2 linked regions of the Coturnix japonica genome follow. The protein of the gene in region 1 interacts with the protein of each later gene in a biochemical or structural test. Links are inferred from orthologs where the notes say so. Each region holds a gene or a part of one and is shown on either strand. Other genes may lie near its edges.

Region 1 (3,648 bases):
ACCTCATTAAATTTTAAACAGTGGCTGAGAGATCACTAGGCAAGTGAAAGTGGGAAGTTATTTTCCAAAGTTTACTGCAAAATACCAAACTTTACTAATTAGCATGCTCTCCAATTTAAACACACACCCACCATTGCTGCTGAAATCTAGGGAGATAATCGTGTCTCCAGCAGCTGGAGCCAGCACAGTTAAAGCATCTGGTTCCTGCTTAAGTTTTTCAAAAAGGCTGTTGGTATCATCCAGGTCATCTTTGCTGAATATTTTGGTCATTTTCATTTCAGGAGACTCCACTGGTTTCAGCATACACTCCGTTTGTCCAAGGGAAAATATCAAGTCCTTCTGAACAATTCCACTGCCAGACAGAAAGGAAGATGATTAAAAACCAGCTAGAATTCAGCCCTCACGATTTTCTAAGTTGCCATGAAAGCATCAAGAAAGTAAGAAAAAGAAGTAAAACAAACTTCGGGGCTTTCCTTAAAAGTCTTCTACTTTTTTTAAATGAAGGTACTATATCTTGATGGATTGATACTGGTACGTTCACTAAAGCTGTGAAAAACTAACTTAGGACTATTCCACTGTCGCAGAAAAATACTTCAAGTCTGCCTTAAGTTTAAGGTTTCAGTAGAAAGAATTCAAAGGAAGAAAAAGATAAATGGATACCTCTGACTCCATCACTAGGAATTACCAGTGAGTATAACTGTTCTAGACTGTGGACAAAAATTAGGTAAGTGCCTACAATGCCCAAATTCTGTTTGCCTGCAGAGATCTCCCCACTGATATCTCTACAAAGTGATTGTCTTTTTTAATCCTAATCCTACGACTAGCAGCATTCTAAGTAAAAAGCTAATCAGTAGGAAAATCAGATAGCACTGCAGCATATTGAATAGGGACCGGATTCTTAGCAAGTCAAAGATGAATCTGACTCAGTCTTCCAAAAAAAATAAGTCATGACAAAAATAGCAATTCCTACTTAACTTACCTCAACACATAATTTACACATACTATGCACTGTGGCTGAGAGTTCTTAGTGTTGTATATAACAGTTGCTTGAGTTTCAACCCAGACGTAGCCACCTTGTTTAGCAAGCATTCTGTATTGTCCCGTTGTCACCTGCCCTTTCGTGAACACTAAAACCAGAATAGACATCAGCTTTAATTACAGGCAGAAAAAAATATATCCCTTTTCAAGCTAGGTATTCTCTGCAGATTCATATCTGCAATTAAAAGGAAAACCCTTGTTATTCTGTGGCTTTCCCTTGGCTCTCTATCTCACTTCTTGTACTTGAGAGCATTAAATACATCTTTTTCACTTACTGTCGTGGTGTGTTTTGGTCAGATGATCAGAATCCAGCGCATGATAGTACTCATAGATTGAACGACCCAGCAGTTCCTCTGGCTCATATCCCATCAACTCTGTAATTCTTTAGAACAAGAGAAAATTTGCTGAGCAGACACTGAGCAACAGAAATACAAGAGCATATGGATGCCTGTAGATCCACAGAGAACTTAAGAATCTCTTCCACGAACATTACCAGCAATGATGGTTTAGTGTGAGTATGCTTTTTTTTTTCCTAATGCTCCTTTAATAAGATACAAGACATTTCAGCAGCCATAGGATTTTACTTCTCATTGAATATTTATAAAGCATGTCCTGTGATGGACAGGATTAAGTAAATCCCTGCTTTTTAGACGTTATTGCTTCAAAGTAGACAAGCTACTTACAGACTAGAATATCCAGCTTACACAAATGAGAATATAATAAAATAAAGACATGCTTTAACAGTTTTAACCATGCAACTAAAACAAATTATTAATGAGATTTATTCTCTTCACTGTTGGCTTTCAAAGTATTTTCTACAGCCCCTAGAGGGCAGCGCTAACTAGGAAAAAGCACCAGGCCCTGCTTTATGCACAACATCACCAAATTCACATGTTTTACATACCACCAGCAGCCTAAGAAAGGTAAAGCTACTGCACGGGGCAGAAAGTGACCTATACTAACGTACTTTTGTATCTAACTGCAGTAACTGATTAGAAATTCGTTTTTACATTAAAGAAAAAAAGGAAGGTCTTAGCAGTAATAAATAGAACCCATAAAAAAAAAAAGGCCAGTGATTTCCTTCCTGTCTGTTTTTTCAGATTTATCAAGCATGAGCTTCCAAAGAGTAGTAAGATGAGTATGTATTAGACTACATCACTGACATACCATAATACAAAATCTTGTTTTCTACTACAGATGTGTTGCATTAAAAGTAGAACAAAGCTTTACTTTTTTTCCTGACTGGAAAAAGCAGATGCTGATCTGACAAAAAAAAAAAAAAGCAGCACAACATGCCTGACAGATATTATGTATGTACTCTTTTTGGTCTATAAACTGCACCACCATCTCCAGCAATCCCTTCCATTTTCTCAGCATCCAGAAAAATCTTCTCATTTCAATGTAATCATTACCACAACACTGTTCAAACTGGCCTTTAACTGAGGAATTACTCACTATTACCCTACACCTTCCTTACACTTAAGAGTTTGGTTTTTAATACGACATCCTGATCAGTCAGTACAAAAGCCAAAGCATCTCACTGACAACTCCATTTTTGCAGATAATTGAGCCTGTAAAAGCATGAGGCCCACATCAGCCAACACACACAACCCCTGCAAATCATTCCTTCACATGAATGCAGATTTTAAGAGCTGAATATATTTTACCTTTCATCACAATAGGAAAATTTCATATCAAGACTGTGACGACTGAGGAACGTCTTACTGTCCAAGGGGACCTCAATGTTCGATGGGTGAGGAATTGGTTCACATATCAACACCAAGCACGTCATGGGAGGCTTCTTGTAGCCACAGTGAGTTTGATTATTGCATGTGTCATATACACGTATGTGTCCAGTGCAGTGCAGTACCTGTGGGACAGTTAGACTTAAGAAGAGACCAGACTGCTTTCTGTCAGCCAACACAGATGCACTTCCATTGATGCACACAGAGTTAAGTGCTTCCCTCCCCACCTCTCTAGGCTCAGCGTTATCAACAGCAGGAACACAAGAGTGCATTTAAACTGATTGTTAAAATACAGACAGTTCTCGTCATCTTACATAGGCTGTTAGTACACTCTGCCAGCTCCTTCCTCTCATGTCTGCAGAAGCAATGCCAGAAGTTTCTGCATTCCTGTCAATGTCTTTGACAGCTAAACTCATTACACTGGTAAGCAATTGGCATCCTACTATGTCAACCTGAGAGTTACGCTAATAGTATCAGCCTCCCTTTTAGATCTGCAGAAGTGATGTTAGAAGACAAAATCAAGTGCATTCTTCAAACGATGAGAAGGTTTGCATTTTCTCATTTTCCCCTTTTAAAAACAGAAATCTGAACTAGAAATAGTTCACGTACAGCAAAGAAGTTGTTCTTTGATCAACAGTAACTAAGCTTAAGTTAAAAAGGATATTTTTAACTGTAATGCCACTTTATACAGTAAAAGGCTGCCTAAAGGAAGACATGAAAATGCATCCATCTCAGACACTTATCAGACAGGGCTCTTTTAGTCCCAGCTATTACAAAAGGGATAGCCAGCAACTTCAGAAAGAACAACACAGGAGTCTTTCAGAGGAACCTCAACTGTTGGATTTGCAAAGCTGAATCAAAAGGA
Region 2 (4,124 bases), on another chromosome or scaffold:
TCAGTGGTGTGAGTATTTCACTCCCAAGCCTGTATTTACATACCCTTTCTTCTCTATCTTTCTTCCTTGTAAAAATGCCCTTTTATATTTTCTGTATTAAGGAAGGGTTTGAATGAGTCTTCCCACTCCCAGCCTCCTGCCAGCTGCAATCAAAAGTCTGCATTGTTCTGATGGTTTGCTGTTTGGAAAGGAATAAGTAAAGATATTCACCCATTAATCATATATTAAAATGCTAGGTAAGAACAAAGTATTATTGTTGGAAAGACTGCCTTCAGCATGGGTTCGCTTTGGGAACAAGCTTTTGGCCTTTTTGTTTTATTTCACTTTTAAATTCAAATCTGGTGAAAAATCTGCACTCGTATGCATGTTCCTGCATTTTTTCAAGCTAAATATCTTGGGCTAGTGTTTAGAAAAAAACAACAAGCAACACTGATGTTTTGCTGCACATGATTGGAATGCTACTTTTGCTTTTCTTGTTTTGTTCTGTTTTGTTTTGTTTTTAAGGGGGAACACTGTCTGTGTAGCAACAACGATAATTTAACACTAAGAATCCAACCAGAATAGTTGTTTTATTCCTATTGTTTTAGTCTTAGACCTGAATGATAGGCAAAGAATTTGAGGACATGAAAATGTTATTTTCACACACAACTTCTTCGGTGCTCAATTTACTACACTCTGCACATCAGTTGAACATAACTGCAGGATCCTGGGAAAAAAATGGCCAAGGGGAGCAGCAAATCTGGCTAGGGTAGCTCCCAACATGTGCTGGTGGCCCACGCAGAGCCAATGTTGCAATCGTTGGTAGGAAGTGCTACCTTTGGTCTGTAGCCAATTTACAAAACTCATTTCATCAGCACTAGGGACAAGTAGATCAGAGCCGTGTATGGAACTGAGCAGGACAGACCATAAGTGCAGTAGAACATAGGGATGTGCAGAAGTATCAGCTGTGGTGTTTGAAGAAGTTAAGCCTTCCAAAGCATTCTTGAGGGGATAGTAAGCCTTTAGATAAGATAGACATGTGCAGACTATTTGGTATTTATCACTTTTTTTCTTTTATTTCTGATGAAATTATGTTCTGTTCTTCACATAAAAGATGGAACAAGCTTGTTCTTAAGCTCACTGTCTCAACACAGTCTACACTAATGGTCATCACCCCCTGCCAGAGGAAGCCTGGAGAGCACATCCCAGACAAGACAAGCTAAATGAGGTCAAACACACTGTCAGTGATATCCTACTCAGTGGAAGATGGAAACATGGGAGCAGACTGATAAGCCACATCTATGTCATGAATCAGAGAAGACCTCAGGGTACTCCCAGGTACTGCAACTCAATGATCTCTCTAGCCAGCTGAGCAAACATCAGCTTGGGCTCTCCCATTTGGGAGTGAGTCCCATCTATGTGGCTATTTTGGTAATTGTATTTTTGATACAAGAAGCATGTAATGGCACGGATATTCAGATTCTGGATTCAGAGCATTGCAGAGGGTATTGCATGTACTGCTGTAATGGGGGCAGAGACAGCCCTGAGACTGGATTCAACTTCTTCATGCTGATGTGTTCAGTCAACATTTGATGTGAAAATCCACGTCCCAGCTAAAGTCAGCAGATCTCCAGCAGTTTGGGATCAGCTAACGGCCTATCCTTTTGCCTTTTAAATCTCCACTTAGGGATTGAGGTCAATTCCTAGAGCTTTGAAGTGAGGTGACAATTTACATGAGCCTTAGGTTTGGCTCAACTGGGGTTGATAGGGGCCTGAGGTCCTGTCAAAGCCTACTGAACAATGGCTGCTCAGTATTTTGGAAAAATAAGCCACCACAAAATAACTCCTTTCATTTCATTTCCTAACACAATAAACAAATTCTAGCTTAAAATGTGATAGTTTTAGTTCTTGGACTAAAAGTAAATATCACCTTTGTATCACTCTTCATGGTCGCTGGATGAAAGAGATTTTCCTTATAAGGATTTTTATATTAAAAATGTGTGCACAAATTCATCCAAACACATATATGCGTACGCACAAACAATCTTATTTTTCCCAAGAGGTCTTCTTTTATTGGCTTCATTTGAAAATTAATGCTCTCATGAGATGAGGTTAAAAGTAATTTAATGTAACAATGGCCTGATAATTGGCATTTGGCAGTTATTGCTAATGCTATTTTATAGTCTGGTTCTGAAGAATTTGTGCTTTCATACGCAGACATGTTTTAGTGCTTTTCTTTCTTTTCCCTCTTCACACAGCTGCTGTAACCCATATCAAGCAATTGTTTAAACAAGAAATCAACAAGCATCGCTTGTGATTTGGCTTTCTTTCCTTGCAGGCTGTTAGGAAATGGTCTCAAAGAGGGAAAAAAATAAAATGTTCCTTCTGCCCTCTATTTTTCCCCACTTTCATAAAGAAGAAAATGCTGATGGAGAGGAAAAAAGAACACTAATCACACACTTTCCGCCTGAAGTCATTCAGTTTTCTATTCAAACCAGGAAAGTGTCTATAGTTAGACATGGTTGTATTCCTTGAGAACATGGAAACGACAGCATATTATTAGTGCAGAAACTAAAGAACAGCTGCTATTTAGCACCTGGTTCCCAACAACAGGCTGGAAATACAAAGTCAGATGCTCTGTATGTGCCCTGGCAACAAGGAACGAACAAACAACCGAAAATCCCCTTTTCTGGTAAGAAAGAAGCCCTCCCCTTGTGATATCTGCCCAAAGCCTTAAGAAACTTCCAGCCCCTGTTACAGAGGGAAGGTGAAAAGAAGAAAAGGGGCCAAAGGATGGTATAATCCAGACTGGTCACTGTCTTACCTTGCTGCAGCTCGGTGGTGCCTCTGTTTGTGAGAGCGCGAAGGATGGGAGCAAACACAGGGACTCGTGGCTTCATTGGATTACCCACACTATGTATTTAGTAATTAGACAGACATTTGTACTTCAGATGAGCTATAAATATAATATCTCCAGAGCCCCAGGCACCCAGAGGAGATAAGGACTGCAGTACCTCTGTGCCACCGGCCTTTTAAGGCATCACAGATATAGCAACACAAGGCCCCCAATGGAAAGGGCTGCTGTCCTCCTGACCTGCTCCATTTCAGAGTGCTGGATCTCAAAATACACTCACCTACTTTCAGGAGTTCCTGCGAGTGTTCCTCAGAACGCCAGAACTATTATATGATTTGATATTTTCACTGAGCTATAAGCAACTCTAACTTCTCCATCAGATTATTCCCCAAGGCTCTGGGATTAACAGAAATGCCAGCTGCTCTGTGGATGCGGTGAACTCCAACTCCCCTTCATCTGTTTGTCTGTCCATCCCAGGCATACAGCCTCACTGCAGGGTGGTCTGTCTGCCTCATTGTGCTCTATTTGATCCCAGGGGAAGACAGTGGCAGCACAAATCAGTGGTCACAAATCAGTGGGTATGGGCAGAGGCCTCAAAGCTCAGGAGCCTGCTTTCCCTGCTGGGCCCCTGCTCTCTGCAAGGGAGGTGTAGAGCAGAGGTGTAGGGGACACTCATACATATAAGGAGTGAGAGATTAGAGGTAAAAGAGAGGTCTTCCAGCAGATCCTGTGGGCACTGCCCTTCTGGCTGCAGAGATGAAACTGCCCAAACAAGGCTCAGTGCAGAATCAGGACTGCATCCTAGCTCTTTGCCCATAATGGATCCATCTCTATATTTTGATGTGTTTCTACAGAGCAAGATGCAGCACAGTTGTGGTCCTTGATCAGAATGTTGTACTATTTTAATTTGCTTTTTAGAAGAAGAAAAGGTAATCCTCTTCAACACACAGATGAAGAAAGAGCATTGGGCAACCTCTAGGTGCAGAAAAATGACTCTCCCTTACACGGCAACATATGTCTTAGAAGAAATACTACGCTTTTAAACTGAGATTATCTGTTGTTTCTTCTCCTGCCTGAAGCAGGATTATCTGCCATCAATCTCTCTGTTGGATTTATCTATTACTTCCACGGTCCCAAAGAATGCCCCGTTCTCTACATCCCCTTCTCCTCAAATTGTTGGTAGTTCAATAGTTTTTAGGAGGTCGTGTCACCTCCCAGTTCTTCTCTGAACACTTTGTTTGGTCAAGCTGTGGAGACTGGATACGGACACAAAATTTGTGCCAGGGTTTTT

What was found.
Region 2: the proteins of HIF1A (region 1) and FHL2 form a complex in vitro, tested with the Homo sapiens proteins (2 studies listed by BioGRID). The link is inferred for Coturnix japonica from reciprocal best matches to the Homo sapiens genes HIF1A and FHL2.

Annotation. Positions count from the first base shown.
Region 1 is NC_029520.1:49,074,640-49,078,287, forward strand, and holds part of HIF1A (hypoxia-inducible factor 1-alpha), read right to left. Parts: exon of another isoform or gene 2,909-3,648; coding exon 2,706-2,908; intron 1,550-2,705; exon of another isoform or gene 1,427-1,549; intron 1,421-1,426; coding exon 1,314-1,420; intron 1,128-1,313; coding exon 980-1,127; intron 725-979; exon of another isoform or gene 353-724; coding exon 132-352; intron 1-131.
Region 2 is NC_029516.1:121,912,938-121,917,061, forward strand, and holds the start of FHL2 (four and a half LIM domains protein 2), read right to left. Parts: upstream 2,931-4,124; 5' UTR 2,804-2,930; intron 179-2,803; exon of another isoform or gene 44-178; intron 1-43. UniProt on the Homo sapiens protein: May function as a molecular transmitter linking various signaling pathways to transcriptional regulation. Negatively regulates the transcriptional repressor E4F1 and may function in cell growth.